Linked DNA regions of Diceros bicornis minor. The protein of the gene in region 2 interacts with the protein of the main gene of each other region in a biochemical or structural test. Links are inferred from orthologs where the notes say so. Each region holds a gene or a part of one and is shown on either strand. Other genes may lie near its edges.

The links. The genes of interacting proteins can lie anywhere in the genome.
Region 1: of the proteins of RRAD (region 2) and CAMK2G, one has a biochemical effect on the other in vitro, tested with the Homo sapiens proteins (2 studies listed by BioGRID, with this or other methods). The link is inferred for Diceros bicornis minor from reciprocal best matches to the Homo sapiens genes RRAD and CAMK2G.

Annotation. Positions count from the first base shown.
Region 1 is NC_080745.1:32,813,593-32,817,939, forward strand, and holds the start of CAMK2G (calcium/calmodulin-dependent protein kinase type II subunit gamma), read left to right. Parts: upstream 1-1,350; 5' UTR 1,351-1,418; coding exon 1,419-1,483; intron 1,484-2,833; coding exon 2,834-2,928; intron 2,929-4,347.
Region 2 is NC_080771.1:18,868,276-18,872,622, forward strand, and holds the start of RRAD (GTP-binding protein RAD), read right to left. Parts: upstream 3,240-4,347; 5' UTR 3,089-3,239; coding exon 2,518-3,088; intron 1,867-2,517; coding exon 1,793-1,866; intron 1,664-1,792; coding exon 1,459-1,663; intron 582-1,458; coding exon 310-581; 3' UTR 1-309. UniProt on the Homo sapiens protein: May regulate basal voltage-dependent L-type Ca(2+) currents and be required for beta-adrenergic augmentation of Ca(2+) influx in cardiomyocytes, thereby regulating increases in heart rate and contractile force.

The sequences.
Region 1 (4,347 bases), on a different chromosome or scaffold from region 2:
GGGTACAGCTGCCTGGGCAGGTCAGGAACCTGCCTAGCCTGTTTCTCCTCCACCGAGACAGTTATGTGCCTCCGTCCTACCATCCTCTGACAGTGGGGACAGAGGAAGGGATGGTAACTCCCTCTGCCAGGGCCCCAAGGAGTCCCTTCATTCCACAAATATTTACTGAGGGTCTGGGGCTTGAGTATACAACAGTGAACAAGGGAGGCAGAGGCCCTGCCCTATTAGAGCCTACAATTTAGTGGGAAGGCAAATGTTAAACAAATAATAACAGCTAACTGCTATAATTAGATGCCAGTACTATTCTAAGTGCTTTATGTGATTTAGCCCATTTACTACTCACAACTTGTTTTCTTCTCAGTTTTCAGATAAGGTAACTGAAGCACAGAAAGATTAAGTGACTTGCCCAACGTCACACAGCTGGTCAGTGAGTTGCCTAGAAATCCAAGCCCAGCCCAGAGTTCACTCTTTAGACAACCATGCTTTAGCTCTACTGCCTCTCATATCTGTAAACATATCATTACAAAAATGTGATGAGTGCCATAAAATAAAAATACAGGGTGCCTGCAAGAGAATGGGGATATTTGCTCCTTCCTTCTGCTTGCTCTTCTAGCCCACATGGCATAAAGCCTTTTCTAATCGGTCCCACTTCATCCTTTGCATTGCTGGCCAGAGAGAGAACATTCTCTCATCTCTAAGGTTGGAGTGCAGGCAGGCAGAGTTCCACCTGCATCTTTGGCCATGTCCTGGTCTCCCTGAACAATCCGTGCCTGAAGGGTTTTATCTAATAATGGCCGTGATGCTTACACAAGTCTAGACTGTCAGCTTCCCGAGGGAAAGCTGCTGAGAGCTGGCTCTGCACAGGCTAGGGCCAGAGTGTGCAGTCTGACACAGGCTTTTTGACCTTGGCCCTTTCTCCACAAGGTGTGAGCCGGGATGGGGGCTTAGGACCCGTGTGCGGGGCCCGCCAGAGAAGTCGGTGGTCCAGACCCCTACAGGATCCCAATACACACACACTCGCACGCACATCCCGAGCCCTTGCAGGGTCCGCCCCGGGACAAGCCCACAGGTCGCGAACATTTCAGCTCCCTCTGGGTGGCCCCAGGCTGGGACCCCCCTCCCCTCAGCTCCCCAGCGCGCGCCGCCCAGCCCTGGCCGCTCCGGGGCGGGGCGGGGCCGGCGGCAGGAGGCCCCTCCCCGGGGGCGGGCCGGGGGCGGGGCGTGGGGGGGGGCCGGCAGGGCTGGGGGCGGGGCGGGCAGCCGCGGGGGTGTCCCTCCCTCCCTCGCTCTCTCCGGTAAAGTCTCGCGGTGCTGCCGGGCTCAGCCCCGTCTCCTCCTCTTGCTCCCTCGGCCGGGCGGCGGTGACTGTGCACCGACGTTGGCGCGGGCTGCACCGCCGCGTCCGCCCGCCCGCCAGCATGGCCACCACCGCCACCTGCACCCGCTTCACCGACGACTACCAGCTCTTCGAGGAGCTCGGCAAGTACGGCCCGCCTGCCACCAGCCGCGGCCCCCCACCCTGCCCCCGCCGCCCGGGCGCTATGCGGCTCCTCGCCCCGCCCCCCGGCCCTGCACCGGCCGCTGCAGCGCCCCCTCGGCCTGCCCCACCCCCAGCCTTTCCCGCCCGCTGCCTCCGGGGCCCCCTCGCCCCCCGCTCCCTGTCCCGCAGCCCCCTCCGCGCCCTGCAGCAGCTGCCCGGGCTGCTGCACCCCGCGCTGCCGCGGGGACTGCAGCCCCCGGACCGCTCCTGGGCGCCCTCCAGCCCCGCCCCTCCCGCACCCTTCAGGCGCCCCCCATCCCGACCCCGCCTGCTAGCCACCCGCTCCCCACCCTGCTCAGGAGCTCACTCAGCACCCTGTCCCATGTCCCGCGCGCCTGGCACTCAGGACCCTCCCTGGTCCTGCAGCTCCAAGCGTGCTGCGGTGCCCGGCTGTGGGGGGATGTTTGGTGCCCGGCCCCGCCCCCCCGCTAGTGTCGCTTCCAGGATCCCAGCCCCGCTGCTGGGCAGTACTGCAGCACCCCCTGTCCCCTCCCCCCATTCCTGCAGTGGTCCCGGGAGTCGCGCGCCGCAGCCGCAGCATCCCCCTCCCCTCCGCACTGAGCTGGCCGCTGCAGCAGCCCCGGCCCCCCCCCCCCACCCGCGGCGCCGAGCCCGGCCACTGCAGCCCCCGCCCTGCCCGCCCCCCTAGACGTTTCCAGAGCTGAAGAGTGCGAGCTCCCATTTGGGGGAGAAGTAGAGGAAAATATCTTGGGAAAGGGGAGCTATTTATGTCTGAGACCCATAACAGCATCCTCTCTTTCTTTGCTGTCAGTTGAGCCGGGATGCAGTGGGATCAAGCCAGTTATAGGGGATTTGACCCTCACTTTCCTCGCCTTCCTCCTTGGGTGAGGGAGATTTCTTTCTTAGGGGATTACACCCTCTTTCTAATCTCTCCTTCCTCTACCCTCAACTATGTCTGCTGAGAGAAGGGCAGGGTCTCTGTTCCCTTCTCCTGGTTCTCTTGGCCGGACCGCAGGGCTGTCCCTGAGATGCAGCAGGTGTGTGTTTTAAGCATCGCCCACCAGCTCCTGACATACAGCCCTGTTAGGGCTGTTGCTTTGCTCAACCACTAGATGTGGGAGTAGGAGTGGGGGTGGTCCTCCACCCACATCTGTTCAGTGTCCCACAGTGGCCACATCTTTCTGCCCGGTGTTGGATCGTGATGGTCGCTATGCTGGTGTGGGTGTGATTTTGACTAAAGGTCTAGTGATAGGAGCATCGCTGTCCTCAGACCTGAAGCGTGTCTGTGTCACTCTGCTCGGTGTCCCAGTTCTTTCCCCCTTCTCCCTCCAGGGGTGCTTTCTCTGTGGTCCGCAGGTGTGTGAAGAAAACCTCCACGCAGGAGTATGCAGCAAAAATCATCAATACCAAGAAGTTGTCTGCCCGGGGTGAGTTCCCCATCTTGGTCTCTCCCTGGGGTGCCTCCAAGGGCTGTGTCTTCTTCTGAAGATGCTCCAGGAGTTGGAGGCTTATGTTTTAGCACTTGGAGAAGGGTTGGAATTTCAGGGTGGGTGGACTTTGAAGCCAGGCAAGGAGTTGCATAGGGAACTGGAAGTGCTCAGGTAGAAAAGAAGGAAGAAAATGTAAGAGATGTAGGTAGCTGCAGGGACGAGTGGTCCCTAAAGGCTCAAAGGAGTTTGGTTTTGAGGGAGGGGGACGATATGGGGAATGGTGGGTGGCATGGAATGGAGAGCTCTTAATTTGGGGCACTTGAAGTCTCTGCGTTTGGGGCAGTGGTAACCACTCCTAAGTAGCCTGTCTTAGTCCCTGTGCCCCAGTGGTGACTTAAGATGGAAATGTAGTAAGTGAACAGCTCTGACAAATCTAGCCTCCCCCTGCCCACCAGGCGGCAGAACAGACTCCCAAGGGAAGGGAATCTGTAAACATCAGGGGAGGCTGCTACTGGCGAGGGCTTCTCAGGAACAAATCCTGCCAGATGAACTTGATTGCTTTTTTGATCAAATTACAAAGTTGGTGGTGCAGTAGCAGATGCAGTCTGTCCTGGGTGGGGGGTGATGCCTCATGGTCTGGAAATCTCAATGGCTTGGTCTGGGTGGGAGTAGTATTGCCTCAGGGTCTGGGGATTGTGAAGGCCCAGGCCTTGCAGCCTGACTTGCAAGATCCTCCCAAGTACCTGAGGCCAGGAGCGTCAGGCTCTGTCTCGCACGCCTCCAATCTACACTCCCTGAACTTTATATTGGGTGCTTGCCAAACTCGCCTCATCTGATAGGTATAGACCCGGCAATGTGTGAAGTGCTCTGTATACAGGTCTGGTGAGTACGGAGGTATGTGGATGGGTCAGGTCATTGAGGGGTGCAGCAAGGGGACAAAGGTTATGAGACTCAGAGAAAGGAATTAGGGCTGGGCAATAGGATGCCATGTATTAGGAGCTGGGACAGATGCCCTGGGGAAGACATGGGCCACGGCTAGTAATGACCTGGGCATATCTGGCGTAAGAGGTGTAATAGATGTCTCCAAGCATTGGAGAAGCTATAAAATTCCACAGAGATAACAGTGGGCTTCTGTCATATTGACAATTATTCTGGGACCTGTTTAGCAGGGCCATATCTGCCTCCTGGCTAGGAGGGCCTCTCTCCATCCCCACAAGCAGGGTTTGTCTTGCTGTCTCCCTCCCAGCCCCCATCGCTTGCTGTTCCTCTACATTGGCTATAAAGTTGACTTATTTGTTTTATTTCTCTCTGGGTACCTTGAATAGGAGGCAGTGGTTGCCATAGAGATATGTGGGCAGTCAGATGCCCTCCTCCCCTAGGGTGGGGGGACAGTGTGGTGGGCTGGGCTCTTTGGCA
Region 2 (4,347 bases):
TGAACAGCCTCCCACCAGGGCATGCACACCTGGGTGTGGAGAAAGGGAGTCCTCTCCCCACACACAGGCCTGTCCCGTGGGCTGGGTTCAGGCTGCTGCTGGGGACGCACATGGGCCTGCACACGCATCTCTGTGGGCCCAGCCCTTGATGGCCACTGGAGCCGCCTCCCTGGGCAGCACTGTCTGTCCGTGACCACAAGGTGGGGGATGCCCAGAGTCTGCGCCAGCCCTGAGGCACCTAGGGCATTGGCTGGGCCAGCCCACCAACCTGCCCATCTCTCTGCACAACGCAGTGAGTGCCTGTGGGGCCTAGAGCACTGAGAGGTCGTGGCAGGACTTGGACTTGGCACGAAAGGCCATCTTGCGGCTATTGCGTGCTACAATGCGGCCCAGGAAGCGCTTCGCCTTCTTGCCAAGGCTCTCTCGCCGCCCAGCTTGCCGACGTGCGTTGGCCTCTTTGCTGTCCCGACGCAGGCGTATCTGGCGCACGACACCTTCAAACAGTGCCTGGACGTTGTGGTGCAGCGCAGCTGACGTCTCAATGAACTTGCAGTCGAAGACCACGGCGCAGGCCCGGCCCTCTGGTGTGAGTGGGAACAAGCACACCCCAGTAAACAAAGGGTGGGTGGGTGAGGAGCCCATTTAAACCCCGACCACCCGATGGCAGCTAACACTCAGGAATCTGTGGGTAAGGGAAGGGGGAGCCCTGGGTCCTCCCCAGAAACACAGAGACCCCAGCTCCCATGCCTCCTAGGCATGCTCCCATGCCTAGGGAGAGTCCCAGGCAATGGCTGGGTCACCCAACTGGCAGAGTGTGCAGTGTTTGAGGAGCTCACAAAGACCCACAAAAGGAGACTCACTTACTGAAATAATTTGCAGTTTGATATGTAAATAGAAGTGCTGCGATAGTCAACACAGGTAAATGAGAACTTCATTGGACAGCTTAGTGTTTTGTGGTTTGATGTTACATCATAATGAATGACCGGTGGGGTGGGGGGGATGTCACCAAGTCATTGCTGGGTTCCTCTGAGAGGCTCAGTTCTGGGGGCCACAGGGGAGAAGCCCAAGAGGAGACGGTCCTCCCCATGGGCAAGCCTACACCAAGACTGGCCTGGGCCTGGAATCCACGCTCTGACCTCCTGGCCCGGTTCCCTGCATTCTCCTCACCCCTGGTCTGTCAGGCCATGGCCAAAGGGGACAGGAGCCGAGGGCCCTGAGGTGCCCCAGCTCAGCACCCAGCAGCCTCCACCTCTCCTAGCGCATTTAGTCTTTGCCCGAGCACTCTCAGGTCTTTGGGAGTACTCTGGGAGGGCAGCAGCTCTCCTGGTCTCCACCTCAAATTTTCTTCCTGAACATTTTTAGCCACTGATGATCCCTGGGGACTCAAGCTGAGTCAAGACTGAGTGGACCACAGCCCAGCCAGGATCTCCCTCCCTTTCCAACCCGCTCCCTACTCACCATCCAAGGAGACCTCACGAGAGCGCACCAGGTCGCTCTTGTTGCCCACCAGGATGATGGGCACATCGTCTGTCTGCCGTGCCCGCCGCAGCTGGACTCGCAGCTCTGAGGCCTTCTCGAAGCTGCCTTTATCTGTCACTGAGTACACGATGACATATGCATCTCCCATGGCCATGCAGTGGCCTGGTAGCCAGCGGCTCCCATCCTAGGGAACGCACACACACACATCTACCCAATAGTCCTCATGCCAAGGCTACAAGGCTGTCACTCTCAGCAGGCCCCTACCCCTAGCTCACCCCTCCCACCCTGCCCTGGATCTCAGCCTGCATCCTACCTGGTCCCAAATGTCATAGACCATGAGTGATGCCTCTTCTCCGTCCACCACGATGGAGCGATCGTATGTGTGCCCTAGGCGGGAGACCAGTAGTCAGGTTACCTACTACTGCCCACCATGCACAAGTTTTCCTGTTCTGGCTACACCCTCCAACTCCTCCCTAATGCCCCCCTAACCTTCCCCTCCACTGAAGGCTGCTATGTGGCAACAGAAGTGACAGGACTGGGAAGTGGGGGGTGGAGGGCATGGTGTGCCTGACCCCCACCTAGACTCCCCTTCCCCAAACTAGCAATGTCTTGGGTGGCCACTCCTGTGCTCCCTGCTCTCCTGTTGCCTGGGCCCCAGGGCAGCTCTGACCACAGTCACCTTTGTTAAAACAGGGACCGTCACATCTCCTAGGAGCCTTGGTCACCTAGGGCTCTTCTTGTAGAAACTCTTTCTGGCTGTGTTCTTGCCAGCCCTGGCAGGGAGGGATGTCCTATTCTCATTCTACAGAGTTGTCTATGTATGCCCTGGGCCTTCTATTCTGGGCATTTCTTCCCCTACCCATGGGAGTTCCTTTTCCCTTAGGTTCCCCATCTGTGAAACGGGTAGGTAGAGACATGTTTCTGAAAGTGCCTTCAGAATCCTATGCTATTCGCCGCTTTTAACACAGGTCCCCAGCCCTGCAGACTCCAGTCCTAAGCCTGGGATCTCCCCTCCCTTGAATAGTCCCGGCCCCTCACCTGCAGCCTCTGCTTCAGGCCCATCCTCTACACCACCGAAGATGCGCGCCAGAGCGCTCTTGCCCACGCCAGGCGCCCCTAGCAGCAGCACCTTGTAAACGCTCTCGTCTGAGTCGCTGCCCACTGAGCTGAGCGAGTCGGAGGAGCCCTCGGGCCAGTCCAGCCTTGGACCCTGGGCCCCGGTCCCAGCTGCAGCCGCTGCCCGAGCTCCCGGAGCCAGCGCCGCCTGCAGGTCGCGCTCGTCCACTGGCATGCTTCGGCGGTGCAGCGGGGGCGCGGGGCCCCAGGGGGTGCTGCCCCGACGGCGCTCGCGCTCCCGGCCCCCGCCGCGGCTCCCGCCCGCTCCGCTGCCGCCGCCATTCAGAGTCATCGCGTCTGACGCCGTCTGGGGAACGGGAATCGCCATGGCCGCGTGAGCCGCGGTGGAAATGGTATGAGAGGCTGGACCCCAGGCGCGCCTGCCCCATTCGGGGTCAGGCAAGATGGTGAGGCCGAGGACCTGCCGCAGTCCCCTCCCAGCCGTGAAGGTCCTTGCACCCTGACTGGTGACCCAGCCTCCCGACTCGTCCATCCGCAACCCAGACAGTGCGACCACCCGCACCCCGCTCGGCCAGGACACTCACCCACTGGCAGACGGAGACGGTCAAGACTAGTCTCGGGCTCGGATACAATCTACTCGCAGACCCCGGCTCGTGGACACTCGACGCTGCCGCAGCCGCCGCCTTCTCAGTCCGCACTGGGTCTGGGCTCCAGAGCCGCCTATTTAAGCCTCTGTCCGCCCCCGCCCCCACCCCCGCGCTCGCCCCCGTCCACGCGGATGCGGGGGCTGACGTGTCGGTCCCCCCCCCCCAGGGGAATCCCCTACCCTCCTCGGAGGACCTCACACCCATCAGGGCGGGGCAGGGACGGACTCGGCAGACAAAGCCCAGGTCTGAGTGTGTGGTTGGTGGGGGCAGAGAAGGGGGGAGGAGGAGGGAGAGTATGTGAATGGTGAGGGGCAGGGGGATCGGCGTGGAGGGTGCCATCATGGGTGAGGGCAAGAGGGAAAGCCAGAGCAGCCAAGTGCGCCAACTCCCCTCTGGGGAAGAATAAGGCTGGCCCTTTAAAAGTGAATTTTCCCTTCTCTCTCCCCAAGTCCTGGCCTGTTGCCCAAGCAAGCAGACCAGTTATAGGCTGGACAGACTTCACCCCTCTCTGCCCATGACACCCACTCCCCACTGGCCCATATCTGAGCTAGACTGTAGGGGTTCTGGGCTTCTAGCCTCAACACCAAGTCCTTCCCCGTCCCCTCCCTGCCCTGGGGAGTTGAAGATTCTACCTGATGAGCCTGCCCTCCAGGGTGAGGGTTACTGTCACCCCATGAGCTCCTGGGGGCCCCTAGAGAGCTGTTTGGGGAGGGGGCAAGGAAGGGAGGCCTCTGGCTGTGTGTTGCAGGTAGAGGTGCATGCTTGAATCCTGGGGAGGAATACAGGCCCAGAGAAGGGAAAGAATGAACCACCTCACCCCCCAGCACCTTCCAGGCAGCTGCCAGCAACTTGCTAAAAATACCTGGCCCTGGTCATTCCGCTCCTGGTCGTTCCACTCCTCGGCTGGAGGTTGCCCAAACTTGAGGAAATCCTGGCAGACAGGTGTCAGATGCCAGCAGGAGCGGGTAGGGGTGGGACTGGACCAGGGTCAGGGCTGGATCCAGCCACTTGAAGAGTCTTCAGTGTCTCTCTCCTTCCCTCCAGCCCCAGACTGGGCCTTCTGTTCAGGGCACATGCAGGGCCTGGAGAGCCAGACTCGCATCCAAGAGGGACACAGGTGTAGAGTATGGTGGGGAGTGGTTAG